4 linked regions of the Caenorhabditis elegans genome follow. The protein of the gene in region 4 purifies or fractionates together with the protein of the main gene of each other region. This does not show direct contact. Each region holds a gene or a part of one and is shown on either strand. Other genes may lie near its edges.

Region 1 (7,199 bases), 2.2 Mb from region 4:
GGAAGATGACATTTTTGCAGAAAGAGCTCAAAAGTTGGAATGAAGCACCGAAAGTTTTTTTTGGAAATCCCACTATTGTCTATTTCAGTGAATCAGGAGAATTCGTCACTTGAAAAATAATAATTATTATAACATGAAAAATCTTAAAAATCACGCATATAAAGGTTTCAGAATAAAATTTTTATAATCTGAAAATGTGAAAATGACAAATTTTTCAAGTTTCAAACTGTGCACTATTAGAAACATCCGAAAATTTCAAAGCTGATCATTAAAATTGACATTTTTTCAGATTATACGTTCTCCAGGAATCCGATAACATGTCAATTGTAGCTCCGTCGTGTGCTTCACTGGAATGGTGTGATGATATTGATCGTAACGGACCGAGTCGTATTGGATTCGATGAAGAAGGATCATCACCACAAAGACTTCGACGAGCAAACCTTGATTGGGATCTTGAATCAGAAGTTGCCGTTCAACGAGCCCTGTCAATTGCTTCTTCATCTGTAACGCGGGAAATTGAGCCAAAGTTTGCTCCGAAAATGTCGAGAGATTTGATGGTGATGGCTTGTGAAATTTTTCAGCCATATTCACCACCATTTAGGGTGAGAACTTTCAGAAAAACTTCTTAAGTATGGGGTTATTCATGTGATGTCTAAAAATGTAAAGTAATGTTTTATTGAATTAAAACAAATTTTTTTTGACACAATTAAAGACAATGGCCAAAAATGCAAAAAAATGAATACTTTTTTAAATAGTTTTTTACACACAAAAATAGCCCTCTTAAAAATTACGGATTTGATTTTTTTTAAAAACCAATATCTATTTTGTAAGTCCATTTTACCTCGAAAAGGTTTTTTTGCTCGTCTGGTTACTTTCTCCAACTTTGTGCAAAATGGAATTCTAATTAATTTTAAATGGTGAAAATGTGAATGTGCTTTAATCGATTAAAAAAAACATTCACAATACATCATCAAAATTGTTGAGAATTTGAAAATCCTTCAAGTTTTTTCAAAAAAAAAAAAAATTACACCATTTCAAAGTTATTACAGGACCTCCAAACCATCTATCATAAGCGTCGTCTGAAACGAGTCGCCGTTCCGAGTGTCACCGAATCAAATGAATCATGTGTTTCTCTATTCATGCGATCGGCTCTTTATCACAAATGTTCACTTCTTCGCGACGCCACGTGGTCGATTATTGAAAAGGTGAGCAATTTCACAAAAATGCCAAAAAAATTTCCGCATTTGAAAGTACCCCCGTGTGCTTAAAAAATGGAATGAAATTTCAAGAATAACAAGATAAAATGAACAAAGCACCCATGCTCTTTTGATTAAAAATGGGTCCCCATCGTTTTTTGAAAATTCAATTTTTCTTCCAATGACACATCCACCGGATTTCTCAATTAATTACGTGCGTTATTGTCGTTATTGAAGCCAGTTGTCGAACAAAAAAGAAAATAAAAAGCGGATTAAAGTCGTCACGATTTGACTTCGGTACGAATTGTTTTTTTTTCTAAAAATGAGAATACATTTGTTTTTCGAAATTTTCAGTGAATCATTCATAGAGTACTACTGTAATATTTTGTTCTAGAGAATCTAACCACTTTATGTGATTTTTCATGCTCTTTGAAGTTTGTTTGAAAACCTTTAAGTTCGCAGATTTTTACATTTGAATCCTCCGATGCCAAGAAACCCCGCGATTATTGAAGAAAGCTGTTTTCAGCTCAAGAAATGACAGAAAATCTAGAATAGCTTCTTATCCCATTTGGATGATTGGAATATCACGATCTGGTATCAAATACCCAAACAATAATAAAAGATTATAGAACATTTAGGATATTTTTAGTTTTTTCTTGCGTTTCACCACCCACCACACCTTTGACGTGCTTCTTGAATAATATCTTGAAAAGTGCAAGTTGGCTCCGCCAGACAAGGTTTCAGATGAGAAGCATCATTGCACAATATCTAGAAGCTTCGTCCCAATTAGAAGATGTGTCTGACGTATTGAATTCTGCTGAAAAGTCAATAATGTCAGCTCTGATGATTTCGACGTCTTGGTTATCATTAACTCGTCTGCTAAAGTTCAGAATCACTAGACCGGTTAACCTGAATGTTATAAATGGAATAAGCGAGGATTCGTGCTCATTCCCATATTATCATTAAAATGCAAATTGAATGCCACTAGTTTTGCAGGGGAAATAATTTATGTGTATCCATTGCTCATTGCCAGATTGATCATTCAGATGCATCGAAGAATTTGTGTTCGATTACTCTCATCAGCAAGATCTCATTAATTTTGCAGAATAACCTATGTTGCGTTGTATGTTCTTCGTTTTTAGCTTTTCGCTTTTTGGCAAGAAGAGCCCGTGACGTAAACAAGACCTCACACGAAGAATACTTTATGAGTTGTATGGGTGATGTTGGACGCGCACGGCGATCAACTCTTCAGGGCTCATTTATTTACTGTTTAAAAGTTTGAAAACCAAAGTTAGACAGTTGGAATGATCTAGAATAATGAATAGCTTCTTTGGTCTCTATACGTCACACATATATTTCATTTTTTGGTGGATCTACAAATGGAATAATCTAATCGGATTAAGAATGGAAAGCAATAATGGATGTCAGTTAATCCGGCATTTATACAATCAAGATGAATGGGTATAATCAGAAGATTTACCTACGTCGAAGGAGCCTCTTCATGATATCTGAAAATAGTCGGCTAACTTATAGTTGGGAGAGTATGTATACCATAGTCTTTGTTCACTTTTTCTTTCAAATATTCGTAAGCAATCGATCATTTGAAGATTCTGGGATTATGGAACAACTCAGAATACTGCAACGTTTCTCATCTTTATTCAGTTCGTTTGTTCAATTATCAGAAATGGTCATTATCACGGGTTCAAGGAAGAAGAAAATCAGGAATTATTCAAAAATGGGGATTATAGGAAAAGAAGACTGGCGACATCCCGACGAATAGCATATTATTGGACGAAAGGATTCAGGAATTAGTAGAAGACTTCTGGCATCGGGAGCTTATTGAAATCGAGGAAGGTTGTAAATCCTTTTGGTAGATTGCAACCGTCTCTTTTGCACAAACAACGTAGGCTGACCTGAGATGGATGGTTTGCAGCGTGGAATTGGAATGCCTGAAGTGATTTTATATAAGAAACCGATTCCTCCAATTATATTAAGCCTGATAATATTGAACCTACCTCTTGTAGACAAACGTTGATCACAGCGTGTCCTGGGATTGGATTTCCGTACATGGCCAAGATGTTGGTGTAATCATCGGAATCCATTTGAACTCCATTGACGTAGTACTTGTTGTAGTCCTTTGGGTCTGGCATGTAGCTACACAACTCGTAGATCGGCTCGCTCATCGTGTATCCTTTTGATGGATTGTTGACATCAATCGGCTCCCAGCACCGAATGCTCTTTGTGAGTTGATCGTGAGCATCTTGAACGGTGTTCTTAGCAGTTGAACGAACACTGTAACCCGAGGCCAGGACGAGTGAAGAGATGAGAATAACAGTTGGAGTGTTCAACATGTCGACCGTTTCAGTGAGATCGAAAAAAAGAGATCGGCAGATGTCCGAGTGACTCGAAGTAGTGATTAGCCCTACTGCCAACTCTGTTTATATGATGAAGCTGAAATGGGCGGAGTCAGTTTTTTAGTAACGAAAGGCGGGCTTTGAACAGAGCTGGAAAATAGGAAAAAGGAGGTGGAAAAGAAAAGCTGAAGATCAGGAGGTGTTTTTTAGAAACATGTGACAGATACGGGTGATAATGTTAAGATAAATGGTCAGCTCATGTTTTGATTAAGTTAAAAGTACATAAGGATCAAGGGAAGAATGCCAAGTTATGTCATATAGATAGTAAGGTTTTCAGAATGAGGAGATCGGAAAAAAATAACACGGATATCCCTTTATTCACTAATTGGGGTTTTTGACGTGTACTTATTTCACTAGGGCTGTACAAATCGGCGTCCGGTCGTCCGATTTTGACACCACCGGACGCACTGCGTCCGGTTTTGGGGTAGGTTTCCACGGCGGCCGACAATTTCCGAGTTTCGCCACTCACTATACTTAATCAGCAGTTTTATAGTGAGTGGCGAAACTCGGAAATTGTCGGCCGTCGTGGATAGCTACCCCCAACCGGACGCATGTGCGTCCGGTTCGGACGACCGGACGTCCGGTTGTACAGCCCTATATTTCACCGTACCAAACAGGGCGCCATTTGAGATCATTCTACACAGTGCGATCTTCCCTACTGTTGATCAGAACTCTTTTTGACTCAGCGATTCGGTGTTCTTTTGCCTCTTGACGTGAATGATTTCAGTTAGCCTCTACTAATTAGTTATCCGCATCGCTACCAGCACCAAAAATATTTCTGAACTCTTCTGTTTTGTGAGCCACAACGTTGACTCATTATTTGAACGACCAAATTTTGGAGTTAAAATTTTTTTAAAGACAATCTGCACGTTTAGTGATTGATCTACCACGCCTTATGAGGTGATCATTTGAATGTTTGCCAGTAGCTTTAAAGAGACATTTGATAAAGTATAGAAGATCAACAAATCGTTTTGTACTTTTAAATATGTCTCACTTCAACGAATGTAACTTTTCTAGTCGGCATTCCCATCCGAAAAAAACCGAAAAGTCCGAGCTCCCGGGCGTCACTGTTAATCTCAATTTAATCCTAGTGAATCTTAAAGTGTCCAGGAACCACACAAAATGAGGAATCCAATTTTCAGCGTGAAAATTTCAAATTTTTGAGAGGTGTGGAAGTGGCACATTTGCGTGTGAAGAACGCTTCTGAAAATGATTGAATGGTCACGAAGATGCTCAAAAAGAAATTTAAAAAAATGGCAAAAGTACATCTTGTGCCCTTTGCACTTTTCACCCAATTTCTTGTTCTGATTTCATTATTGACGTCAATAAAGGAAGAAGGACCCTTGTCAAATGACCCTATATCTGGTATCATTCTGACTACATTTTGTTGCAGATAGATCTGACCTGTGAAAAAAGTGGAAGTATTTAATATTCTGTCTTGTGATTTTTGAGCTCAAAACCCCAAGTGTCCACAGTTTCAGAAACTGTCGACTAGCTGGAAAAAGGAAGAATAATGCCTGTGAATAATAATAATGATTATTATAATACGTCAAACGAGACAGTTTCCTTTCAAATCAACATGTCTACGATATGAGAATAGGAAATTGAATCACTTTATAGGATTACAGTAAAATCCGATGTATGAGAGGAGAACAACAAAACAAAAACCACGCAAAAACTGGCTTAAAGTAGACTTATTCTTATGGGAGGCAAATTTTATAAACCCGCGCGATTTGGTAGATTACTTTCTAAACAAAATCTCCGAGTCCAGAAATTATTTTTTTTGGAGATTAAAACTAATATATGTTTATTTTCCAGCGATTCGACAATGCAGTCCAAGAATGCGATTTTATGAATAAATGGCCAGGCTACAGTCCGTCTTCAATGCGAAAAGATCTGAAAAAGTTGCATGATTTGGTGAGTTTCAACAGAAATGCTTCGACCACACTACATTACTCAACATCACTACAATTTTCCCACGTTTACAAAAAATTTACTAGAAAATTTGGTCTTTCGTGTGATTCTTCTACAAACTATAAGTGTGACTTGTTTCAAAGAACGACAACTTTTTCTTTGAGTTTTTAGTTTGAAATGTCATGTATCCCGGTTACCGGAAATGCTAAAGTTATCAAATTTCATGAAATTCAATTATAAAAATTTGGTTTAATTTAATGTCCGGTGGCATTTTAATAAACTTTTGATAGAATAGTTTAGTTAAATTACATTTAAAAAATGAATAAGTAGAAGTATAGATAAAAATACCATTGAAACATACTAAACATGCTAAAAAAATTTCCATAAAATTTCAATCTGAAAGTTTTTCAGTTCATTTTTCTCAGATTTTGGGTAGAATTTCCCCAAAACCGGGCTTTTCAGATTTTTGATTTCCACTCAAATCTGCCAAAAAAATTCTTATAAAACAAACACATTGTTTGCATTGTTTGCATGCATTGTTTTTTTTCTTGTATACATTGTTTTCTAAAATGTTGGGGAAAAATTGATTTTCGTCGATTTAATTTTCAAAATCTGAAATAAAGGTCGCTGGCACTGAACTTTTTTAATGTCGTGATTTCCGACGATTTTCTACGCTCAGCATGGCTTCTTTGTTTCCGGTAGTTCACTTTTTCTTTTTTAGAACAATAGTTTAATTATTCCTAGAAAAAGAATGAATTTCTACGAAAACAAGCCATAGTTCAAATTGATGTTCAGTGATGTTAGATGCTGAAGGACTATGCCTACGCAAACGCAACTTTATAAAATCTGCAATGATCTGACCAATCTTACGATTACTTTCAAATCATACATCGACACCATAATTCCATTCATTTTCCAAATGTTTCAGGCATCAACTGATTCGTTATCCGGACTTGAAGAAGATCACCATAAAGCCTACCAAGTGTTGATGGTTCTCGAAGCGAAGAGAGCGTATGACGAACGACTTGCTGGACTTTTCTGTGAAGATTGGTTCAATGTGGACAGTCCTGCAGACATTTTCAAGATTCTCGTTGACCGAGGAGATGACGATTTACCTCCAAAGGTATAGATATGGAATTTGGAATATTTGAAATGCGCGCAGACTAATTTGAGCGGTTAAGCCGATGTTCGCCGACGAATTTAGAGGATTTTGAGAGCTTGATAATATTTTAGATTAATTTGCAAGTTTGCCTCTGTTGAAATAAGAAAGTTACCGTATGTTACCGTATGGGACAAGTAAATTTCGTGTTACTTCCCAAGACTCAAAATTCCCCCTAACGGCACGTGGTGTCAGGTTGTCCCATTACGATTTGATCTACAAGGGAATTTTCCCAAAAAAAGTAACGTTAGCACGCTCTGAACCATGCGAAATCAGTTGAGAAGTCTGCGTCTCAACTCCCGCTTTTTTGTAGATCTACGTAGATCAAACCGAAATGGGACACTCTGACACCATGTGTAATGGCCAAATTTAGGATAAAAACTAAATTTCATAATTATCCAACTTCATTCATCGTGTTTTGAATATGTTGAGAATTATGCAAACATTTTGAGAATTTTCCAAAAAATACCTATTTTAAACAGAAATCTCGGTCATTGCAATGTCTTTTCGTTGGCT
Region 2 (9,099 bases), 360 kb from region 4:
ACTTTGTGTTGAATACTCGAAATCAGAATCTGGCCCACCGGGACAATAGACACAAATGTTTCCAGTGAAATTGATGTGAGGACAACGATGTGGTTTGCTCATCACTGCTACAACAGCAATTCCAGAAGCAGTTCGAACTGGTTTTGCCTTGAGTTTTGGAAGAAGGCTGTCTTTGTAATCGGACGGAACTCCAGCGATAATGTCAACGAGTTTCGGTTGAAAACTCAGTCCATTCTTTTGAGCAACCTGAAAATATTTATTGAAATGTGTTTTACCGCCTAACCACATACGATGCATTTCAGCCGATTCAAGTTGACATCCTTTTTTTGATTGTGAGCTTCAATAAGAAGCTTGACAATTTCATTTATTGTTTGTGCCAGTAGTGCTCTTTGTGAACCCTTCTGATCCATCTGAATACAGTTTTGATACATTTCCTATTCAAATTGATGTTTTAGATATAAATTGGAATATTAACCGACAATGAACTCAAAAATCGCTTTCAAGATGACCAGTGTATTTCAAACTTAGAAATTTCGATATACATAAATAGAACACAGACCGAGAAGTGATCATGAAAGTTGGGTGTTGAATATAATAAAGCGGAAAAATTATTTGTTGAGATTCAATGGAAAATGGTCACTGGGTGACGTGTCAGAAAAATACCGGAATAAATATGAAATAAAATATATGGTGGATCATACATACAAATCGAATTCATAGAACACTTATACATTGAGAACATGATTATGGCCAAGTTGGGGCTGCAATTGGAATCCTGGAAATGGTTTGAACGCCATTCTTCTCGAGGTCATCGTAGTTATTGTTAATGAATTGATCAATCAAAAAGTGGATTGCGTCGCGAACTTCGGAAACTTGACCACGCATTATATCGATGCATGCCAACCTAATTCTGGTGCCAGGAACAGTGCTCATCGAGATACGCAACTCCGCAATATCTTCTTCGTAATCGTACTTGTCACTGCACATAACATCAATCTGGAGAGGCGTCAAATCGTGACGAGAGTTTTTCAAAGCGCGTTTCGTATTGCGACGTCCAACCCAAGCTCTTGAAGTTACAAGGAAAATGGCACCCTGAAATTAATAGTAGTTGTAAACGTCACATTCTTTCTATTCTATAGAACTAACCGTTGGAGTACATAAATCAACAACACTGGGTCCTTGCTCATTCGGACAGACATTAAAGCGAAGAACTCTAGTAAGAAGGAGGAAAAGATCACTCGAGGTTATCACCACGGCTGGAAGTTGTACTGACAAGTACTGGTGCTCGGCTCCATCAGTTACTCTAGTTGATATACTGATTTTTGGCTCTCTGCTCTTCATAAGCATAGTAGCCATCGTGTTGGTTTCCAGAAGATAGTTGATGTGAAAATGATTTTGTTTCAACTGAAAATATAACTTTTAATCCATAAACAATCAAAATAATGCTTACAATGAAAAGAGCGTTCCGAATAAGACCATTTAGTAGTTTGACCGCGTCTTCTGTTACTTTTGCCGAAATATTATGAGTAATATCCATGGGATCCATCAACATCAACGGAGATTCTTCAACGCCTCCGTGCGCACTTGAGAGTGTTTTTCTAAAAAAAAATATACAAATTAGTTGTGAGAAATTAGTTTTTAACTTACTTTTGCATCGCTTTCTTCCCGTAAATCGCTTTGTTCGTAAAATCAAAGTTGGCATAGTATTTGAAAAGCTCTCGGAAAAACTTGCAATAATCGCCGAACAGAGTGTCAAAGTTGTATTCATTGACTCGAGAATCTCGCTTTGCTTGAGGATTCACATGAACCTTGTTGGTTGCTGCTTGAACAAAATGAATAACGAGCTGATTGATGATGTAAGAGTTCAGCTTTGTCTTGACTTCAAGCTTCTCTTCCTAAAATAATGAAGTTTAAGAACTGCCTAATTCAATATATAATTACCGGATAGTCACCCGATAGCAACTTATTTGATTTTGCCCAGTGTACGATGAACATCATTGCATTTTTCATTCTACTTCCCTTCGACTTGTCTTTTACGATGAATTCATGCAACAAGCTCGCCTTCTCAACACTGATTTGATTGTGAACTGATAGATCGTATGACACCTGAAATGAATGAATTATCAATGTTTGAAAGCGTCAACATACATTCATTCCTTCCACTTCGATATTTTTGAAGACTATGATTGGAGTGCGTGCAGGTAAGAAACGCATCTCGAATTTAGTTTTGAATGCACTGTTCTCGTTGAAGCACCGGTAGAGAATTTTGATAATTTCCTCTTGTGGGTATGTCTCAAGCTCCGATTTGGTTAGTGGATGAGTGATGAGACACTGTAATTGTATATTGTTTCAGGACAATTTACAGTAATTTTTGTACCTTTGGATTTGCCACAACTTCGTTCAATGGTCTTACATTTGTAGAAACGCGTTGACCTGGAGCGCTGACTGATTCCACGTTAATGTCCTAAAAACATTATTGTTTCTTAATAAAATAAAATAAAATTATTTTTCTAACAACTTACAATGTCTGAGTAACCATTTCGCCGCACCGGTGATGCAAAAGAGCCGAACATCTCACAAGCAGAATTTTGAATGAGCTCAGAAACCCCTTGTTCAATGAAGGAAAATCCATCTTCGAGAATTTTTAAGCGTTCAGGAAGTTCTTGACAGATAGCCATTGTCAACACTTCCAAAAGCTCGTCGTTATTGAAGTGCGGTTGCGAAGTTTTCATGAAATCAATGGCATCTTGAAGTCTGAATCCGTTCAAGCCTAGAAGGGGAGTGAACACGATTTTCGTCTGAAAATAAAAGGAATTGTATACAATCAGCTAAAAATAATTATTTACATTGTTGATTGCAAATCCTTTAGCGATGGAATCGTGGCAAATCCTGTTGGCTTCATCTATTGATTCCATTTGCAATATCATAAACTGATCTTGATCTTCAGGTGTTGGAGAGTATCCTATTTTCTCCTAAACGGTTTAATTTCAAATGCTTGTTTTCACAGCATAACAATATTTTTTACCTTACAACCAAGTTTATACTCAACCGACTCCACGAAGACAACGACAGCAATTGCAGAAGGAACCATAGCTGTCGTATCATTTCGATTCCAACGAGCAACAACGAATTGACGACTATCAAACGTTTCAACCAGTTGCAAGTTTGAAGACATTATCGCATAACTGAAATATCTGGAAAAATATATAATTTTAGGTAAACAAAGAGGATGGAGAATGGAATCATGCGTTGCCATGGAATCGAATACACTAGGGAATCTTCGTCGAAAATTCGAGCAAAACAATTTTCATTATAATAAACAACACATTGCATTTTGTTATAGGTTACAAATTAATTGGAACGTGCGCATTCAGGGATTTAAATTTTGCGTTTATCAGAATAATAATAAAAAAAGAGTAACAAATTTTAAATAGATTCGCGCAATAAAAAAGTTTTTCGAAAAATGACTGAAAAACTGAGTTGATAAACTACACGCGCATCGTTATATCGGAGTGTCGTAAGTGGCGGATTTTCAAATAAATTTTTATTGACAAATTTTAGTTGTGGACCTAGTACTAGTATGTATTTGTCTAGTAAGTTTTCTCTGCATTGCCTTTCTAAAGGGAAAAAGTTGTTTTTAAAAAAAATTATTAAATAAATTTTATAAAATTGTCTTAGAAATTATTTGCATTGATTGATCAGAATCCTTCTAATCAACCAAAACTTATGCCTGCTTAAAAATTATAAACATCATTCCATAAACATCGGTCTTTCAAAGATTGAATTTGAATTAATAATATTTTTTATTTGGAATTGAGTTCGTCTACAAACGAAAAAATAAACGGAAATTCGATTCTGATTGCTGGGATTCGAATAAAAGGACAAGCATAACATAAATCGGAAATCGAATTTAGTATATAAATGTAAAAATATCAAAAATGTACAAAGATGTTCCTTTTGGTTATATTTATTCTACACTATGTGCTCGCTTTTCTCGGAATTGTTTTCAATACGATTTTGATTTTTCTAACTTTATTCAGAAGCCCTAAATCTATTGGAACATTTTCTATATTATTGACTGTCAGAGGTGGATCTGATGCACTTGCTTGTTTTTTTGATATTTTCAGTCAATCAAGGTAATTTCCAAATTTTATTTTGCATTTCCTAGCAATGCACCATGTTCTCGATATGCTCTAGTTTCTTCCAATAATGTCAAAATTAAGCAGGGCCGTTTTCATGTTTTCCACGCTTATATATAATTCATGAGATTACACTTTCAAAAAAGAACCCAAATTTTTTCTTTATACTCCAATGGCGAGTTGAGCTATATATAATTAATTTCAGATTAATCCCAAGTGGTACAACACTTGGAATTGCTTCAACTGGACTTTGCAAATATCTCAGTGAATGGTCTTGTTTTCTGGGTTTCAGTCTTCAACTTCATTTTCATTCATATTCTTTTCATCTTCTAATTCTCTGTTTTATATTCCGATGTTATGTTCTTCTGGAAAGATATCCAAAAGCTAAACAGCTTATCATTTTAATTTGCATTATATACTTCCCATCATACTTGCAAGCAATTTTCGTATTCATTGATAACAACAAGCCAGAAGATGTTCGACAACTTATTCAAATTCATCATTCTCAATATAAATTACAAGATTTTGTTATAAATGGACATGCTGATCTTCGAGAATTTCCGTGTTTGTTTTCATATCTTCTAATGCTTATTCCAATTATCCCTGGATATTTGATTATGTATGGGCTCCGCCGAAAAATACACTTCAAGTTACGAAATGCAATTCTCCGTCCGGAAATTCGAGAAAAACATAGACAGCTGACTTGGGTTAGTCTGAAAATGTAAATTATTTTGAAATATGATTTATTGCAGGCACTGACAGTTCAGACTATTGTTCCAATTGCTTTTATATTCTCATCAATTTGTTTCCTACTTGGTCAGCTGAGGATCGTTGAATCTCCAGTTCTTGAAAGTTTCACACTTCTTTTTGCCGTTTTGGTTCCCGTTATCAATCCATTGATTACCGTTACTTTTATCAAACCGTATCGAGAATCTGTCATGAGAGCAGTTGGAATTGATCCTAAAATTTTGATTTTCATGTCACGAGAATGTTCTGTTGCACCTGGTGATACAAATTCTTCAATGTTTGGTAGTTTTGATAATTCATCAGTTGCATCAGTTACATCAAAATTCACAATTACATTGGAGAAAGGCACATTTGACTGAATATTCCAATTAAACTTTTTAAAAAGTATTTTTCATCCACCTTGTGAAAACGACTCATTTGATCTCAGTGATGATCATGTTTTCTATTTTATAAAAATTTTATTGGATGAACTTATTATTTACATTTGATTTAAACAATTATAAGGACACTTGACACATGAATTCGATTTTGATTATTACTGTTTGATGTTCGTTCTCCGGGAAGAAATGAGCGGAATGAGAAGAAATTGGGTCATTGGTTTTAGATTATGGATACAGTAATAGAGAGCCAGATGAGCACCTGAGCACAAGTTGAAAATTGAGGAAAGAGTATTTTAAAATTCAAAGACCAAAAATGAAAGAAATTTAATTTTTGAAGAAATAAACGGCAAACAATGTCATAATAGAGACAGTAAGTTTAACGAGTGATGATGAATTGCAAAGATCTCCACGGCAACAGCAGGCCTTATCGGTGTTAGTTCCAACGCATCCATTTTGCTGAAATAATTAGTAATTTGATAAATATGGTTTTCTTTCTCAAAATTAGAATTTCTCTGAGCCAAGAGATGAATTCCACAGGTAAAAATAAAAACTTACAATGCAAAGGTTAGAGGATCCACAGGCTCTTCCTGAGACGAAAGTTTTGTCATTGTTAAAATCTCTGGATTCCAAATAGCTTTTGTAACAATATTGAGCGTCAGCTGGGCAGTCGACCTATAAATATTGGCATGAATTATTTGTTTTGATGAGCTGGAAGTTTCATTTTTATTTTCAAGCCAAGATGTCCACTTTTGGCACGCAGGTATGTCAGCAGGCGTCCGTGCCTGCATATCACCTTGAGCTCTAGCGAGTTTATACAGTGATAATTTAGATTAATAACTTTTTTTCATCTTTAAAACCGGATAAAGTTTGAAGCTAGTGGCGTTCAAATAATGAAAAATGTTCTTACTAATGGGCTATCATAAGTAAATTCGTGTTTTTTCAACTACTTCCAGCAATATGGATAATTTGACTATTAACTCATTGCTTATCTCGTTTAAAATCTTACCCATGTCTTCATTGGATTCTTCATCAAATTGGTGCTTGTGTAATCATGGCACCGAAGTGTATCGGCATATGGGAAAATGCAGAAAAGAGCAGAAATTGTGAAAATAGCAAACGACGAGGTCATGGTTATAATCGACAACGAACTGACTGTAATGTAAAAGTAAAATAAAAGATTCAGAGGGGTGGGATTATTGGGTAGGTCGTTGACTTCTCCACCTCTTTTCGTTTGTTTGTTTGCGCAGCCTGTAAATTGTAAACTTGTAGGTAGAGAAGCAAAGGTAGAGGAGGAAAAGAAAATAGAAAAAGAGCGAAATATTTAGAGAATCTCCGCAATCTGCCAAAAGGTGTGAAAAGTAGAGAACAAGGCGAATAATGTTGATCTTCTCAATTATTTGCGTATTACTCATTGGTTGTCAAGTGTACCGGGTCATTTTGGCATTTTTCATCGGACTTTCAAGAACTTTAAAGGGAAGTATCAAGAAAAAACGAAATATACAAAAAGATGGATGATGAGTAAACAAGGCATTTGGGCAAGAACTTTGAGACAAGCAAAGAGTCTAAAAAGTTGCGAAACAATTGTTTAGTGAACGTTGTAGATCTGTTAGAAGTGTTTTTGTAATAAATATTTAGCTTCTTGATCATATTTGCGGATTTTTAAAAATTCAAAAACAAACTTGCCAAATAACTATTTGTTGCAAGTTACGTAGATAAAAGTAGTAATGACCTCGTTGGCAGCAACTTTTCATTTATAACTTGGCATTGAGCTATCTAAAAATAGAGTTGGCACACTTCTTTAGTTTTGTTATTTGCTAAATCAAAAGCTTATTCTGACTCAAATTATATCAACTTCATTTTAATCAGAGACTGGAATCTCACTTACATCCAATTAGATCAGATGCAACATTGTATATGTACGATGCGTTTTTATCGAAAACACCAGTAAAGAATTTCTGATATTGGAAGTAATATTGATAAAGACTGAGAAGTCAAGGTTTGAAATCTCGTCTGAAGCGAATATGTCAAAATTGTTTAAATTTTTGAAAACTGGAATTAAAAATTCACACAACAACTTTTTTAAAACTTTCAAATGTCTTGAATAAAATCTTAAAACCTGCAAAAAATGATGACAAAACTATTTTGAGTTTGCATTCAATAGTTTCAATGAGTTGTTTTTCACAAGATTACAGTTGTATTTACAATCAATCAAATGCCACGTAATGGATGAAAAATTTAGAAGGTCAAGAAAAGATCATTGTAAGTTCATATCAACATTTACTTTTTTGGCACATTTTTTTGTTTGCCAATCCCAATGAAAAACCGTGTCATGCTTGGATATGAAATTGAAAAGAGACTTGGCATTGGAAAAACTACTGCTCTTCAAATTGTTTATTTCAAATTTCGTCATTTTTCTGGATCTTTTTTTTTGTTTTTTTCACGAGTAAAAAACAAACAATTCGGAGAAAAGTTCAGACAACAGTCTACTATTTTTGTGATCAAATTTTGTAGATTTTATTTATTTGTTCAATTATTTGTAGACCAAGTAAAATGTTTTCCAGATACCAATTGTACATGTATTCCTAATCACATTAGAAGGTTTTCTATCTTTTCCCCTAAGCCACAAAAATAGATCAGTGCTATCACGAGAGAACAAACAAAATCAGCCGCCGATATATATTGAATTTGATTTATCTGCGATGGTGCTCCCAAACATTTACCATCGACTTTGTCAGGTTGTCAATAAAACTGTTTTAATATGAAAGTAACTGAAGAAAAACGAGAGAAAAAGAGCACATGAAATTTGGATTCGCGCGTGCTCACGCGTTGAGCAACAATTTTTTGTTTGCTGATATTCTTGAAGAAAATGAAAAAGTAAGAACACAAGTTTGTTCTGTTAAATAGACATTTGGACAAAACCTGATTAAAAATACATTGTCAAAAAGACAAGTGGCGCGCAAATTTTGATCTTTCATTAATGTATAGACTTTAGCAAGTATATAGACTCTAGCTTGAAATTGCTGAAACATTGTACAATGATAAAATTGAACTGTAAAAACTGACAATGGGAAATGGTTTCCAAAATTTTCAGCGGTGAATATCGGTAAAAATCTTCATTATTTTTTTACATTTTTTTTTCAGAAAATATAGAGTTCAATTTTTTAAACTGCAATGATCAAAAGTTACATCTCTGTAATTAATATGAAAATGCTTAACTAATGTCTGTTGCTTTTTCACAAAGAGATTCGTTCCAGTTTATGTTGTTTTTTTAAGACATATACCGAACAATTTTAAATGTAAGGTATCGACAGTTTGATCAAATTTTGGTAAGTGTCAGTTTGATTTTTTGAATAAACTTCTAAACGAAACTGCCTTTCTCAAGCGAAACTTTATCAAGCAAATGACCAAAAGGAGAGTAATTAGACAGTTTTAACGGTTCAATATTAAAACGTAAAAATTTTCAAAAAAAAGTGAGATGAGGATGAGGGAAAAGTTGAAAAGTTCCTATCCGTTAGTAATTCGATACTTTAACTTTTCTACTAAACGAAAAAATGAGAAGATGTTTGGTGTATTCTGCTTTCAAAAATTGTGTTGTAAGCTTTCGGGTAAAGTAAAAGTAAAGTGGGTTATGTATAATTCATCTCTAAAAAAGAGGTTAAATTTACAATGAACACCAGAATTTTTATATTGATTGTGCACCGTTCGGATTCTGAAAATTAAAGAAATTGACCGAATATTTTTAGAGAAAATATGATTCAGTTGTAGTTGTTTTGTCAAATAGTCAAGTAAATGATACAAATCCAGAAAACTCCAATTACCAACGAACAAGATAT
Region 3 (8,928 bases), on a different chromosome or scaffold from region 4:
ATATGAGAATAGGTATCTATTTTTAGTATTGCTACTCCGAGACGTTATTTGGATAATTCTCATTATTAATGTAAAAATTGCACATTTCTTGTTGGTATTTTTTTTGTCTAAAAGTGTACTTTATATCCTAAAGAAAGTGTGATACGTAACATCGTAATATGGCATAATTTGCTCCAGTTCTTTCATCAAACTGTGGCCAGGTTCATTAACTGTGGCAAGCACTAAACTGTAGAAATAATGAATGTCGATATTTTATTGGTAGGCATTCTTTCAACGATTTTCTTTTTTTTTTTGGAAAATCAATAACTTACTCGAAAAATCTTCAAGGCAATCGAAAACAACGCATAACTAAAATTAGGTTACACAAAAGTATAGTTTTGAAATACTTCACAATTTTAGTGATATTTAGAGTACATAATGTCGTCACAACCATTTCGACAGAACCGACAGAACGACAAAATTGTTTCAGATGTTTGAATAATTTAAAAACGAATCGAATTTTTGTAACCATCGAAAATTACAAGAATATATATGACAATGTGGAATATCAAATAGCAAAAGTGAAATATTTACTTATATGCAATCAAACTATAATTTCAGACTGCTCGATTTTTGCGAGAAGAACAAGACCAACGACATGCTGGTCTCCGGGCCAACCGATCAGCACAATCCATTCCAAGAGAAGAAAAGCTGTTCAGTACTCTAAATTGATATCGCGCATTCAAATTTCATTATCTACCGGCATTTCAAGACACGTCCCGATTTTTCACAATTCACGTTACTGTCCATCATTTCTCTATTCATTATTGCTCTATTGTTTTAGCTACACGTTTTTGAACTCTCAGTCCACAAGAAAATCAACACGTTCACCAAATCTCAATTTCCGATCTCAAATCTAACTTGCAATCTTCTTGTTTTTGGAATTGTCTTCTGTAGCTATCTGCGCTGATCACTTCGATCTAGCCAATTGGGTTTTTTTAGCATTGGCTTCACAAAAGACTGTCATTCTGAAATTTTTCAGTAGAATCGCACTCTTTTGTGAAGTTAAAGCTTTTTCCCGCAAAAATATACTTCTTAATTATTTTTTTTTCTACTTTCCTATGCATCTATAAACAATAATTTAAAACATCAGACGTTATTATGAAAGGACTTGGAAATGAATTTTTGAATCATATAAAAAAGTAAAAAATCAAAATGTTATAAAAAATCAAAAAAATGAATAACCCATGATTTTTAGAAACGGCTATTTACACGAGACAAACGGTCAAGATTATTGTGAGAATGTTCATTATTTGGAAAAAACGTATAAAAATGTTTGTATGTGAAAAATGCAACCAAAAATTTCATTTTTTCATAATTTTAATTGACAGGAAAATCGAAGGTAGTCTTTTTTCATCCATACTGTTCAGAATTGCCAGGTCTGTTAGAAAACACTAGGCAGAGTAGACTAGTTTTTACGAATGTTTTTAAAATAGTTTGATAAATGAAATATAAAGACTCCTTTTGATTTTACCGTCATCAAAAATTTTGAAAAAAAAACAGCTTCTGGACAAATATTGCAAATATTAAAAATAATTATTTTTTAGAAACTCGTGCATGTGGCACTACGATTTTCTAACATTTTTTATGATTATGGAAAATGGAAAACAAAATCTCAGTTTTTGCCACTATTTTGGAATTCATCGATCAAAATAAATTCCATCGAATTTTATGGTCTTCTTTTATTCCAACTATTACAATTCAAACATTGTAGAATTTGAATACGCTACATTCTCAAAGATTGGCAAATTCTCACCAGTTGCCACTTTTTGAAATAAAAATTTTTTAAATCAAACACAAAGTCGCTAAATATCTAATATAATATTTTTTGTAAGTGAAAGTTAGTAGTTTTCAACAAAACATTGTTTGAAAACTGATATCGTTCTTTATAGTTGTCTCTAAAAAATTTAAAAAATAGAAAAAAGTATAAAGTTTTCAACTTTTATTAAAAGAAGGTGTTTTGAATCAACAAACATGAAATGCAATCGAATAGCCATTTGAACTAACAACGACTTTCTCATATACATAAAAAAAATTATTCTAGATGATCATATGAGTATTTGACATGGTGAAGTGTAGCAGGAAGCATGATTTATAAACCGGGACACGAGCGCTTTTTGAGGGGGTGGAAGGAAGTTGGGAGGGGGATTGAAGAGAAGAAATTAAAAAAATACCATTTGAAATCGAATCAATAAATGTGTCTATAAAACTAGTTGTAGTTTTAGTGAAGGGGAATAAGGAGGCGAATGATCTAATCAACGCCGAGCTGACTTGTATACGTATTCTGATATGAACTCAGAAAATCGTTAGCTTAGCTCTTCGGAAAAGCTCATATAAGAAATCCAACTTCATAAGTTGTTCCCAGTTGCGTAGAGGAAAAAAAAACAAATTGAGGGGGAAGAGAAAACTCCGAGATTGTTGAACAGAACCCATCGTTAGTATTAAAAATGCAGTATTGAAGGAAGGATATTGAAAAGGTTTTGATGCAGAAGTGGAGTATTATATTGTGTATTAAATGTCGCGCATCCATCCGTCTTTGATAATTCGGCCGTACTGAAATAAAAAATTATTAGTTGAAATTTATTTTCAATAGGAGATAGCTGTCTTAAACAAGCTTACCTGAATGTCATTAATTGTGTTGTAGAATTTTTGCATAACTCCAAATTTGCTGGACATGGTTGGGATGTGAAGCTCCTCGTACTCATCGGTAACCTTGTTGTGGTAGAGAATCTTTCCGACTGGTGAAACAACGCAAGCAGTTCCTGATCCGAACATCTCGTAGAGTCTCTTCTCTGACAAAGCTTTCTTGACTTCTTCCATGTTCAGTGTGCGTTCAGTGACCTTGTACTCTCCCCATTCTCTCCCAAGCTCAAGAAGTGAGTCTCTGGTGACTCCTGGAAGGATGAGTCCACGATGAAGTGGTGGCGTGATCAATTCCATGTCGCCTTCCTCGTTCTTCCAGAACAAGAAAATGTTCATTGTTCCGACCTCTGTAAGATCTTCGTTCTCTCCATAAAGCCACAAAACTTGTTGGCAGTTTTTGCTGGCGGCCTCCTTTCCGACCCAGATTGTTGGGGCGTAGTTGCATCCCATCTTGTATGCGCCAACTCCTCCTGGGAAAGCACGGATGAAACGAGAATCAGCGAGCAAGCTGACTGGCTGGAATCCTGTAGAGTAGTAGGCTCCGACTGGTCCAGTGATAACGAACATCTTAGCTTCGGTGGCACATCCCACTCCAAGTGTTGGCTGAAAACAGTTGGTTTTACAGAGGAATTGTTTTTTTTGTGAATCAATTTACATCTGTTCCGATAAGTGTTGGACGCAAATACAATGAGCATACATCTGAATTTGGCACCCATTCTTGATCCAAACGAAGTAATTCGGTAAGTACATTGATCATCTCCTCTGAGTCGAAATCCTGCAATTTTTTGTTCATCTGATGTTTTTTTTTCATTCAGTAGTTTTCATGCGCTCAAGACGCTCAAACTAATTACTTCCCTCTCACATGCTTTCAGGAAAAATTGCACAAAAAGATGACTATCACTTAATTAGCTTTTCTCTTTTCTGAGAGCTTCTCCCTAGTTTTTTTCTTGTTTTTTGATATTTTTTCGTATATTTTACAACGCTAAAGTCAATTACCGGAAGTGCAGCACGGAGAGCAGTTCTCTTCATACGAGCCATGTTCATTTCTGGACGGAACATGCGAATCTTGTTGTCAATACCACGGTAGGCCTTCATTCCTTCGAAAAGCTCACTGGCGTAATGAAGAACCTGGAAGCAAAGCAAATGGATTAAAATTGTTAATTAGTTCCTAGTTGTTTTTTGTGGTTGTTTGATGTAACAAAACACAAAATCGTCGGTGATCTTTAGCTTCAAGATTGATAATTTCCAACAAGTGTCATGCTGTCATGTCAATCTCATTTTTTGGCTTCTGGTCGCTGAGAAAAGCTCAGATTCAACTGATTTTTTTCTAGTTTCGAGTTTTGTCCCCTACAAAAGTTTCAAAAGTTTCACATTTCTTCGTCTTTCTATCCCATATCAGATTTCACTGATCACAGAGAAGAGGTCACAGAGGTGAAAAAGACAGGTGACGGTGATTACATCATCTTTGAAAATCTTCAAAAGTTATCGCCCGCACAACGGATAGAAATGTGTGGCAGACCGGCGGGTAACAAAAAAAATGCAAAGCGAACTGCCACGTGCCGTTTATTAAAATGATTGACATTATTTTATGACCTTTTCTTGAATTTTTAATTTTTTTGTTCATGCTAATGCTTATCATTCAATAACGCTTATCACTAAAAAATCACACTTCAGGAACTAGTGCAAATATTCAATATTACCGTTGACCACTTATGGCGCCATTTTAAATTGATGGACAGTAACTTACTTTTGCTCCGGGATGAATTTTGAGCTCTCCAATTGGCTCAATCTTTGGATGATGCCATCCTCTCTCGGCATCCCAATCGCATGTCATCATGTAATCAGCGTATGTGTGTCCGAATTTAAGCTTTGTTGGGTCCAATGGCTTGGTCTTCAGTTGTGTTGGACCGGCGAGTTGAATTTCAAGGTCTCTGTGCTAAAAGCATTAACAGTTTAATCAATATTCAGACTATAAAACTAACATAGAAAGTCTTCTTTCTATCGTATTCCTTGTGAATTTCCTCTCTTGGTACTGTCTCCAATCTGGCTGCGGAGGCCATAAGCCTTGATCCGACAAGGTTGAAGGTGCGTGGAGCAACTCGCGACAGGATTGCTGGCATTATTGTGTGTATTTCTGGAACAGAAAATATTATTAAAGTTGATTCAGCGACCGTGGGAAATGAGAAAAGTGGACGATTGATAGCATGGAAATGATAATGATACGGGTGTTAATAAGAAACAAGATTAGTAAAGAAGGCCCAGGCAGGAAGTTGAGGCTTCACGTGTGGAAAAGGGGACAGGACACAATGTCCAGCTGCTATGCCGATGGAGGCAGTACATTTGGACTGGCGAACTGGCGCCATATATCAATAGAGTGTGAAGAAGTAGGAGGAGTAGAAAAAGGGGGCTGTGTGGCGGTGGTTTGTAGGCGCAAGGGACGTTGCCTTAGTAGAAAACATCTATCGCTCTCTATGTTTCTCGGTGCTTCTCGTCTATCTGAGCGATGGACGCTACGAGTTCAACAAATATTGAAAGAGGAGCAGAGAAATGAAGAAGCGGGGTAGAAAGCAGCAAATGGGCCCCCGTGGTGGCGGGCGCACGTGGGGAGAGCAGCGCGAACAAATGATGAGATGTTGTGAGGAGTGTGGCCGATGGGAGGGTAACGGCGGGGCAGTGTTGAGGGGCGGGAAGGCGTCGGCGACCGACCGATCGACCGCGGCCTCCCGTCAGGACGAGACCCCGCCCATCTCTTCCTGATCGGAAGACGAAAGCTTTTGACCCGGAGAAAGGCAAAAACAATTGGCAAAAAAAAGATAGTTGGGCTCTAGTCGCTACACGTCATTGGATTCTAGAGTTTCAGACCCACCTACTGGCTTAGACAAGAAAGTGTTGCAGGAAAAGAAGACTTCGTGTTTAATACGTAAAGAGTGTTATGTCTAAAAGTTGAAGGCTTTTTCACTGTACATTCTACTTCATCATTTCAAACTTTTTGTTTTTGAGCCTCGAAAGTATTGTAGAAAGTTTACGCATTTTTCAAAATTTCCTGCCTGAAACGTATCTCTCATCTGTCTTTTGAAAAATTTATATGACTCGGTAAATGAGAAAACTGACCCCTTTTTCACAGAACAAAAAAGTCTGAACCCCTTTCCTCTGACAAAAAGCATCAGATAGAAAGTGGAAAGACAAAACGAGGCTCTTGAAAACCTTGAGGTTTGTTAAAGCTCAAACAAAACCTTTCCGTCATCACAGTTTTAGCAGACCTGTGCTCGTAAAAAAACTTAGATCAAACAAACTGTGGCCACGTGAGCCATTTTTTTCTATTTGGACAGTTGAAGCTCTCAGCTGCTAAATGGGCTGATGAAGAAAGTAGCGAAAACTACAAATCTCGTAACAATTATATTTTAGGCCTCTAACCAAATATCTAATGTTCTTACAAGAGATAAGATTTTGTGGTAGTTATTTTGTGCTACAGAATCTTATCAAATGCTCGAACTATCTGAATTGAGTAGAGATGATTTGGCAGTAATGGAGTTCGATGAGTTTTAAATAAAAATTGAATCTGGCTTTCGAAATTCCTTATCAATGTCCTATTTTGTGATTAATAAACATCAAAGTCGGTCACTTCCGAGTTCAAAACCACTTTTTCGTCCCGTAAGTTTGTATTTTTAGTACCCGCAGGAAATGACGAGTTTGAAGACAATATCACCACGAGGATGACTGCACAATTCGACCGCAACCACGAGCTCCGCGTGGTTGCTAGTCAATGGTTGATGATCACACGAGATGGCTAGACGAATAACAAAACGAAACAGAGACCGTGAGAATGTTGTCCTTTCAATGCTGGGTGGCAGTGTGATGTGATAGCAGTTAAATGTTTCAACACCGTAATTCAGAGCAATGGTCACAACCAAACATCTTGCGGGAAAAGAGATTACATCATGTATGGTAACATCCTTGCAAGTAGAAGAGGCGAGAATTGGGGAGAGTGATAAATTTCACATGAAAAAAAAAACAGTTTTTCTTGTAGAAAAAGGTGAGAGATATGAAATTGTTCTGGTAGAAAAAAGGCAATTGTTGAAAAGTTTTTATATCAGTACTTTTGATCATAAGTTAAATACAACTTACACAATCTATCAAAATCTAAAAGTCTAATTTATTGAATTATTGGTTGTTCTTTGCTGTGGAATACTGTTAGAGACAACACAGAAAATTTATATTAAAAAAGCTTTATCTTCCAAAACCAACTTTTTCCCAATGTCAATCTTTGATAATAAAAGTCACTTGGAACACGGAAATATGTTATCGCTTCAACGAAAAGCGAAGGAGGAGAAGATGTTATCATTGGTTAGAGGCGAAAAAATCGTATAGTTGGAGCGACTCAATCGAATGACCAGCACTGGTCACTCGGGGTTGCAGTGATCGAGCCAACTCTTTTGCCTTTTGATGAAGTGTGTAACTGAGAGAGAAGGATAGATCAAGATGAGATCATTAAAAATGATATGGTTAGAAAAAAAACTTGGCAAAGGGGGGAAAAGAAGATTTAATATCACCTAACTTAGAAAATGGAAAGTGAATGTAGACGTCTCTCAGCTCACTTTCACTTCTTTTCCCTCACTTTTTAGAGCCTTTTTACAGTTCGCCCAACTACCAACCGATATAAGGAAAAAAGACACGATGGCAATTCGACCAATGGCAAGACGAGTGATGAATCTTCTAAATTATATGAGGACTAGTCAAGTACTTAGGTTCCCATCTAGACAATTGTCCACTATCACTGACATCAGCTGGGCGAGAACCACATAGCGGCAATCAAAACAAAATGATGTGATGATCGGAGTTTTTTGAGAAAATCGGAACAAGATTGGTCTGCGCCACTGGATAAGAATAATCAAAGATTAATTACTAAGAGTACTGTATGATCCAAAAAAAAAATGATTTCGAAATAAAAGTTTAATTTAACTTAGAGAGGTCAGGTCAAAGGGTAGTGATGTGACGTATTGTAGAAGTAATAAAAAAAGTGCTAAGTGTTTTATAGCACATTAATGGTAGAACATTAAGTATTTCTTTGAAAATCAGCTCAAAATTCAACAATCTTAAAAAGATAAAGCAGTAGAGACAACCGATTACGAATAACTACTATAAAGTATTAAAAACATGGTTTTATCATCCCGATGGCCTGATATTCGCCTAGATTTTGGAAATTCATGACATTGAGAATTACTACACCGGTTCACAAAACTTTTCGCAGCAGTAACCAATTAAAAAATATTGAAAAGATAGAATAACCTGAAAAAAAACAGATCAAAAATTTACAATATATAAAGAAAATAAACGGGTGCGCAAATTTAGTTCTTGGCGAACCGCGCGGAAATGACAAAATACGACGATGACTAAGACAGTCACGTGGTCTTTCTTTTGTCAAGATAAGAATATTCATAATACACATACACTGCGGCAAAATTCAGTGTCTATGTGGGCAATATAAACGTCATCATCAAAATAACAATTGATCTGTACAGCAGAGGCTGGGTGCAGTGTGCACCCCATCCGAGCACACTACACATGTTTATGAACCAATGCATGGAGATATTGTTCGCGCACTCGGGTGGTCTTATTAACAACAATAACACAAACATCTCCACCTATTGTCAGTGTGTGTCTTGTGAATGTCTTTCGTAGTCTGTAGGCGATACGATAAGACGCAAAAGTTGAAAGCTGGTGAAAGATGACGAAAAAACTTTTAAAGATAGATCACATGATCTTGAAGAGTTGACGAGCAACAGGTGAAAAAAGAATGTGCTTCGGTTTCCGCTTTCTCCCTTCGTGGAATGTGTGTTTCAAAAGAAAGGCAATAAAAAATGAGTTGGAGGGAAAGAAGATAGGTTTTGAGAGTTTTGAAAGTTTGATCTTCACTTGTCAACTTCTCATACTCAATATTAACTTCAGCTGTTTAAAAAAAAAGAACTTTCTCTCTTTTGTTAAGAGGAACAACAAAAAAGCTAGTGTTTGCTCTTAAAGCGAAAATAGGAATAAAAAGAAGACAATCAGGGATTTTAACAAATATTCACTTCCTTTGCTGAATTATTCTTAAAAGTGGAGAGCAGTCAGTGAGAAAATGATTTAAACCTATTCCTATAAGGCTTATATCATAATAAAAAATTTGTATGTTTCGAGTCAAAAAGTCACATGTTCAAGCCTCTAGAAGATTGGAATACAAACATTTTAAATACCGTATATTCTCTATTA
Region 4 (7,199 bases):
TTGAAAAAAATAAAAGTAAACAAAGAAGGAAGTTATCAGAAACTACAGAAACTACAGAAGCCACAGAACGTTCAACATTCAGTTTTGGATTTTTGTAAAATTAGAAAATTAGTTTTTAGAATGGTTTATGAGCATGCCATATTAAATATCTATTCCGCACGGCCAAATATTCCAATATTTTTTGCTGTTCTATCGTTAGTTTTTTTTTTTGATATCTCGGGGATTAGTGTTAATGGTGCGTCCATAGTCTGCGGAAAACGGGGAATTCCCGCGTGCGGAAGCGTCCATAGTCTGCGGAAAAAAACAAGGAGTTTCTCGCTTTGTTATTGGTCAATTTCAAAATAGTGGGCGTGTTCAACCAATTAGAGGCTGTAAAATTTTAAGCTGAGCAATGGGAAAACAAGAAACAACAGCTGATTGGTTGGCCACGCCTACTTTTTGAATTTTGAGGAAAAAAAAAGCGAGGAACTCCGGTTTTTCCGCAGACTATGGACGCTTCCGCACGCGGGAAATTCCCGTTTTCCGCAGACTATGGACGCACTATAATAATTTTTTTTAATTTTGCGGATTTAAAGATATAAAATGTCTTAGAGTATCACAATCAAGTTAAAAATTTGAAAAAAATCTAGATTCAAAGAGAACTAGATCAACACTTTGACCATGGCTATGAATTTGCGGCGACAACAAACTGATAGCCGAGAGACGGTGTTTGTGTCATTTTGTCTTATCAGTCGACTCGGGTGGACACTAGAACACAAAAACTGAGACGCAGAGGAGGAGGATAAATGATTTAAACTTCAGAACCTTCGATTTTTCAAAATGTCAAAATGTTCAAAACTGTTTTTGGTCGTAGTGGGATAGTTAATTTTCGTAAAGGGCTGAAAATAAAAATGATTTAATTAAGTTCACTTTAAAGATCAACATAATGATATTTAATGATCAATGAAACACATTTAATAAAATTAAACTGGCCAATAAACAAGATTTGGATTCCATTTAACGAAAGAATTTCAATGATAAAATTAGAAATTCAGGGTTGGAAACTGAAAGACTATGTGAAAATTGTTTACATAAATTTTATCTGATAGCTAGATTATCGCTGAAAATCGAAAATCTCAGAATCTATGAATTTTCGATCTATCATGACATGACTTATTTCGTACTAATCAAAACATCACAGAACCAGCTTCGATAAGTTTCAAATTTTGATCGTTCTTCGCACTTTCGGCAATCACTGGCGATCACGAGGTTGGCATAAGAGACTCGTAAACGTAGAGGAAAAAAGACTTGTGAGAAAGAAACACGACTGTTGAGTTTAGAAAACGATGCACCATGAACGTACTCAGAACTGCTGTATGAAAAGAGAGGAGGGGTAAAGAAAATACGTGCACATTTTGAATAATTGATGTCTCATTGAGATTAGAGGTCAAAAGTGAAAAGATCAAAGGGTACATAGAACAAATGTTAATTTATGAAAACTTTATAGATACGATATAAAAGTAGTTGATAAAAAGTAAATTTTCATCACAATTAAGTTTGTAAAATTGTGTTCGATACTGATCTTTTTAAATTTTGTTTTATATTAAATTATTAGAACATTAAATAATTTAAATTTTCAGAAGATTCCATAAAAGGATATTATGATAATTTTCTGGATATGGCAACTTGTTTAAATTTATAATAGATAACTCTAACATAGGTGGCATAGATTTTCTTAAAATTTGGGTACTGTTCCTCTCGCTTATCAATTAAACCCAGAAAGTTCTGAGTGTCAAAATGAGAAGAAACAAATATAGATCGTGCTGAAACTTTGCTATGAAGGATCAAAAAACCAGAAGTAATCAGTGTGGTAAAACAATTTTGAACTGGTAATCCGATCAAAATCGATAAGATCAAAAGCACAGAAATCTCTAGTACGCGATAGGAAGTGTCATACAGAAAAGGAGAAAAGGTCAATCTGTAAATTGCCAAAAAATGTGGGCGACTCACACAATTTTAATTTTAGGGAAATTAGAAGATAATATCGATAATATTGGGAGGTTGAAATAATTCACACGGGTTGAGAATATCCGGTAAAAATAAAAATTTAAAAATTCAAAAAATCTATAATAAATAACTTTATTTAAATTGCAGAACATTTCAAAAGTTCTATACCAATAAAAGTAACATATCTATTCATCAGCAAATTTATTTATCGCCGCACCGTCCATTCGAAAAGTGAACCATCCTTCGCTCTTTGTCAAATTTACATAATCAACAGTGTCGTACAGAGCAATCGCATTTTTGTTCCAATCGAGAACTGCCCATTCGAGACGAACAATTCCTTTGTCTCGAGCCAACTCAGCCAGCTTCTTCCACAGAGTTCTTGCTAGTCCCATTCGTCGGAACTGAGGTCGAATGTAGAGATCTTCCATGTGAAGATACTGAAATGATGATTTTTTGGTTGAATTTCAGTACTGTTTCATAAATACCTGCCCAACCCATGTTGAATATGCATAGTAAAAAAGGTTCATTCCAGCTGGCTCCTCTCCGATAAATGCAATGAATCCTAAATTTCGATTTATGATCAATTAAAAATCAAAATCGTACCATGCACTGCCTTGTTTTCAATATCTTTTCTCAATTTCTCGGCAGTATTCACCACGCTGCTCTTCATTTTTTCAAACTCCGCGAGCTCCTGCAAATGTTTATTTTCTTTTCAAATAAAGAAGAAGAAATAAACCTACATGAATCATTGAAATGAGTTGTTCGGCATGATCCGGGGTAACGGTGACAATTTCGAAGTTTTTCATACTTTAACGATAAAAGTGAAGAACAATTTTCAAAAGTTATGAACTGAAATTCTTATCACACAATGAAGATGAAAAATCATTTTTCGATATCAGTGGTTTCTGATGTTCGAGATTTTTCAACTAAATAGTCTGAATGGTAGTCAAGTAACCATTTAAAAGGAAAAATGAATAAAATTATTCCAAAATTTTATGAAGTAAGAAACAAAATAACAACAATATCTATCTATGAAAATTGAATAAAAGAAAAATCCTACAAAACTAAACATTAATGAGGCAAATGCTGTGGTCCCTCCGAAATTTTCTTCGGTGCTCGAAGCTCCATCTCTTTTAAGGATCCATTATATACGCGGGGAGGATTCTGTGATGGCTTCACAGCATCGATTACGTACGCCAAAAGTGCTGCTTGAATTCCAGCATTACAGGATGTGATTGTCGGTTGATTTTCAACATATCCGTTTTGAGTGAGCCCTAAATTAGAAAAGTTGAGATTATCGGAAAACTCATTATCTTTTACATGACTTGATTTCTTCTTCACTTTTCAAATTTCCGCCTTTCACAAGAAGCTCTGCACTAGGTAGATTTTTGAAACCAGCGATTCTAGTGCCGTTTACAAGATGTGGATCAAGACCGGTCTCTTGAGTTCCATCGAATTGACCACGAATTCTGCTGTCCAGAAAGTTAATTTCTGATGTTTTTTCGATAAACTGTTTATCTTCGCCGTCTTTTTTAGCTTCGAGTTCTTGGAATGTGATGACATATTTTTTGAAATTATCTTCAGCTTTAAAGTTTCCTGCAGGCAATTTTACGAGTTCTGTAGATACTTCAAATCCATTTCTTTTCCATGAATCAAATCCTCCATCGACAAGAGAAATGTTTTCATGGCCATAGGATTTGAAAATCCAAGCAACCTTTGAAGCAAAAAGCATTCCACCAAATGCTCCTTTTCCGTAAAAGATGAAATGTTCTTTATTGTTCAATCCAACCATTTGAGCATATTCTTCGAAAAGATCCGCGCGGTATTGTTGGAATCTTTGATAACGAGATGGATATGTGGCAATGTCCAGGTCCACATGCACAGCTTCCGGAATGTGTCCAGCCAGGTACAAGTTCCGGGACCTTCAAATTTTGTTTTTTTTTAAATTAAAATTTGAATAAACATACGGGCTGGGCTCAGCCATGAGATTCTTGAAATCGCCATAACCCTCTTGTTCGAATTCTTTCCAATCTGGACGCGGCGCCACAGCAAATGAGCAATCAATGATCCGCACTCCTTCTTTATTGATAATTCCTTTTTTCAGAAGAGTGTTAACTGATTTTACATCGATTATTTTTTTGAGACTCATAATTACTGTAATTGTTAATAATTTTTAAAATATTTTACGAAAAGACACTGAACATAAACCGTTTAAAGAGATTTATATTTTTACTGAGAAAAAAATTACTTAAAAATGAAAAAAAGGCAAAGAAGAACATTCTGAAAACAGCAAGAACTTTGATTTCAAAACTGTTTTGCAAAATAAAAACTGTTTTCAAAAATGTCTCTGACCTCCAGAATACACATACTCTCTCTGCAATCAATGGAGCGCACTTGCGTCGATATTTTTTGAGATGAATTTCCATCATTTTCAGTTATTTTCAGCCCGGTGTCATGATTATTAGAAAAATACTGGCGTTTAAGCCACTCACAAAAGTAAGTTGTTTAAGTTTTCAAAGCATCGTATTAATTAAAAACGTTTTCAAGGTCTTATTTGTGGGAACTGGAGCTGGAGCAGGCTATACAGCGTACACGGTAGATTCCGTTGAAGACTTAAGACAATTAGGACTGCTGAGATTTGGGAGAGCTGCTTCAACCGTAAGTTGTTTAAACTAAACTGTTTACAAAAAATTTCGATCTGAATTTTCAGGTAGGGAAAATTGTAATTGACTACAAAACTTCATTGCGTGGACTTCCAGAGCCATCTTCTGAATACGATGATGCAATCAAAAAATGTCACCAGCGAAGTGCGGAGCATCTTTTGGAGTTGGCCTGTGTCAACGGAGGTGTTTTCATCAAGGTAGCTGAATTATACTTCAAATTTCTATTGAAATAAATGAAAATATAGGTTGGACAACACATTTCGGGAATGGAATATTTGATACCACCAGAGTACACTCAAACATTAAGCATTCTCACCTCGCAAGCTCCACAAGCATCCAAGGAGGATGTCATTTACGTCGTGGAGTCAGAATTAAACGCAAAAGTCGGCGACCTATTTTCGGAATTTTCCGAAAAACCAGTTGGAGCGGCAAGCCTGGCACAAGTTCATAAAGCAAAGCTAAAAGAATCTGGGGAGACGGTTGCAGTTAAAGTTCAGCATAAACGAGTTTACAAGAATAGCAGGACCGATGTTAACACTATGGAATTCTTAGTAAAAGTTGCCGATGCAGTCTTTCCGGAATTCCGTCTTATGTGGCTAGTGGACGAAATAAAGAAGAATCTTCCAAATGAACTTGATTTTCTGCACGAAGCGAAAAATGCCGATGAAGCAGCTCAACGTTTCAAGCACCTGAAATTTCTACGAATTCCAAAGATTAAATACGATTTGACTACAACGAGAGTACTCACCATGGAATTTTGTGAAGGAGCACATGTTGATGATGTGGAATACCTAAAAAAGAATAATATTGATCCACATGATGTTTGTATGAAAATAGGAAAAACTATTTCTGAAATGATCTTTCTACAAGGATATTTGCACTCGGATCCGCACCCTGGAAATGTACTGATCAACAGCCTAGGAAATGGAAAATATGAAATTGTGCTATTGGATCATGGTTTGTACTTGAATATCAGTGATCACATTCGTAAACTGTATTCCGATCTTTGGCTGGCAATTCTGAAGCCTGATCTCCAAGAGATCCGCGTTAGTTATTTTAAAATATATAATTAAGTGAAAGCTAATATTTTCAGAAAGTTGCAAGTCAAATGGGAGTTGGGGAACTCTACGGTCTATTTGCATGCATGGTCACTCGACGTTCTTGGAAGTCGGTCACAGGTGGAATTGGAAAGTCGAAAATGAATGAAAGTGAAAAAGATGAGCTTCGTATGTATGCTTCGTCGTTGATACCTCAAATCAGTGAAGTACTAGCACGAATGCCACGAGAAATGCTTCTTATTTTAAAAACGAATGATTTGATGAGAAACATCGAGCATAAATTAGGAGTTTTTGGATCAAGTGATGGACATATTGAAGTAAGTTTAAAACTTTCTGGAGTCTTTGCTGTTATTCTCAAAAAGATCTACGTATTAGACTATTGGTCTTTCTGCCGTTTTTATCGAGACTCTAAAAATATGTATTTCAGATGTCCCGATGCGTCATCCGAAGTTCGCACGATCTTGCCATTCGCCGTTCAGATAGTCTACTCGGAAAATTCAAAATTGGATTCCACATGTATTGGTCGCTTATGAAGCTTTGTATCTATCAATATTACCTTCGTTTTATCAACTATCACTAGTTCTATAGTTTTTTGATTCTTGATTTTTACCACCTCGATTGTAGTCTGTGATTTAATTAGTGTAGGATTTATTGCATTTCCATTTTTGCTCACCTCTCCCCGGGTCATGAAATAAAAAACAGTGCCTTTTTATTAAATAAACCTTTTTTTAAACTGTTCACAGATATTATTCATGCAGTACATTAGGAATGTGAAAGAACATATGGCTTTCGGTGGTGAGTGATAAGGAATTAGGATATATCTATCTTGTATACCACATCCTATCTCCCTTATCAAGAGAAATGACCAGTTGTCTGTGGTAACCTATTTGTCGCAGTATAAACCAGTTTTCCATTGTATAAAAGAAACGAAGATTGGTGAAATGAACAGAGTCGACTCGAATGAGCGTCACTAAAGCGACCGCCGGGGCTTTGTGCCTCTCCTCGGCCACTCTCATCCTCTCGCTTTATGCAATTTTCTCAATTTATTCCGATGTTCAGTCTATCTGGTCGCAACTCGATCAGGAGATGGATCAGTTCAAGGTATTTTATTCTTGAAAATTACGAAGTTTTCTGAAGTATTATACTCGTTTTTGAGAATTACCAAAACTTCAAACCATCCTTGTTTCCACAAAATGCTTTGAAGTGTCTTGATAAATAAATAGATGTAGGCGGCCACCACGATTATATTGTGATTTGGCGAATTTTCGACATGTCAGTTTAAAGGCACACGTCGTTTTCTGAATGGGTCTTATCACGATCTCATTCATAGTGGTCGCTACCGGTGTCAAATTTTACATATTTGTTCATTTGGTGGTGAAAATGAACTCAATGAAATGCCAAATTCTGAAGTGCTCTGAGAACAGGATATACATAAAACATTTACCTAATGCCAGACAACAAAAAATGTATGTTCTAGGTAACAACTGATGAT

The links.
Region 1: the proteins of D2023.4 (region 4) and droe-4 fractionate together in Caenorhabditis elegans (co-fractionation; one large-scale study listed by BioGRID). This does not show direct contact.
Region 2: the proteins of D2023.4 (region 4) and usip-1 fractionate together in Caenorhabditis elegans (co-fractionation; one large-scale study listed by BioGRID). This does not show direct contact.
Region 3: the proteins of D2023.4 (region 4) and bcat-1 fractionate together in Caenorhabditis elegans (co-fractionation; one large-scale study listed by BioGRID). This does not show direct contact.

The regions. Positions count from the first base shown.
Region 1 is NC_003283.11:13,989,110-13,996,308, reverse strand, and holds droe-4 (dietary restriction over expressed), read right to left. Parts: upstream 3,654-7,199; 5' UTR 3,548-3,653; coding exon 3,212-3,547; intron 3,146-3,211; coding exon 3,005-3,145; 3' UTR 2,833-3,004; downstream 1-2,832. Other genes in the region: ric-7 (CRAL-TRIO domain-containing protein), read left to right, coding at 290-602, 1,050-1,205, 5,429-5,527, 6,453-6,647.
Region 2 is NC_003283.11:12,181,001-12,190,099, forward strand, and holds usip-1 (U6 snRNA-specific terminal uridylyltransferase), read right to left. Parts: upstream 3,195-9,099; 5' UTR 3,176-3,194; coding exon 3,026-3,175; intron 2,973-3,025; coding exon 2,847-2,972; intron 2,799-2,846; coding exon 2,523-2,798; intron 2,465-2,522; coding exon 2,378-2,464; intron 2,332-2,377; coding exon 2,149-2,331; intron 2,107-2,148; coding exon 1,942-2,106; intron 1,896-1,941; coding exon 1,648-1,895; intron 1,599-1,647; coding exon 1,451-1,598; intron 1,405-1,450; coding exon 1,147-1,404; intron 1,093-1,146; coding exon 745-1,092; 3' UTR 501-744; downstream 1-500. Other genes in the region: elpc-3 (Elongator complex protein 3), read right to left, coding at 1-246, 291-410; srd-4 (G protein-coupled receptor), read left to right, coding at 3,949-4,136, 4,345-4,846, 4,892-5,245; ZK863.8 (UPAR/Ly6 domain-containing protein), read right to left, coding at 5,591-5,722, 5,822-5,938, 6,273-6,395. UniProt on the Caenorhabditis elegans protein: Acts as a specific terminal uridylyltransferase for U6 snRNA. Responsible for the addition of UTP at the 3' end of U6 snRNA which stabilizes U6 snRNA. Does not have activity towards modified uridine containing 3'-monophosphorylation or 2'-O-methylation.
Region 3 is NC_003284.9:12,873,368-12,882,295, reverse strand, and holds bcat-1 (Branched-chain-amino-acid aminotransferase, cytosolic), read right to left. Parts: upstream 4,817-8,928; 5' UTR 4,803-4,816; coding exon 4,665-4,802; intron 4,619-4,664; coding exon 4,430-4,618; intron 4,207-4,429; exon of another isoform or gene 4,074-4,206; intron 3,811-4,073; coding exon 3,679-3,810; intron 3,458-3,678; coding exon 3,338-3,457; intron 3,286-3,337; coding exon 2,659-3,285; intron 2,593-2,658; coding exon 2,551-2,592; 3' UTR 1,968-2,550; downstream 1-1,967. Other genes in the region: gpc-1 (Guanine nucleotide-binding protein subunit gamma), read left to right, coding at 601-706. UniProt on the Caenorhabditis elegans protein: Catalyzes the first reaction in the catabolism of the essential branched chain amino acids leucine, isoleucine, and valine.
Region 4 is NC_003283.11:11,822,928-11,830,126, forward strand, and holds D2023.4 (Thialysine N-epsilon-acetyltransferase), read right to left. Parts: upstream 2,836-7,199; 5' UTR 2,793-2,835; coding exon 2,727-2,792; intron 2,678-2,726; coding exon 2,590-2,677; intron 2,549-2,589; coding exon 2,472-2,548; intron 2,424-2,471; coding exon 2,172-2,423; 3' UTR 2,106-2,171; downstream 1-2,105. Other genes in the region: Putative thiosulfate sulfurtransferase mpst-1, read right to left, coding at 3,058-3,260, 3,307-3,908, 3,954-4,135; D2023.6 (ABC1 atypical kinase-like domain-containing protein), read left to right, coding at 4,441-4,482, 4,534-4,644, 4,697-4,846, 4,895-5,695, 5,743-6,024, 6,135-6,287; col-158 (Nematode cuticle collagen N-terminal domain-containing protein), read left to right, coding at 6,668-6,808, 7,185-7,199. UniProt on the Caenorhabditis elegans protein: Catalyzes the N-acetylation of the amino acid thialysine (S-(2-aminoethyl)-L-cysteine), a L-lysine analog with the 4-methylene group substituted with a sulfur. Substrate specificity: thialysine > O-(2-aminoethyl)-L-serine > S-(2-aminoethyl)-D,L-homocysteine.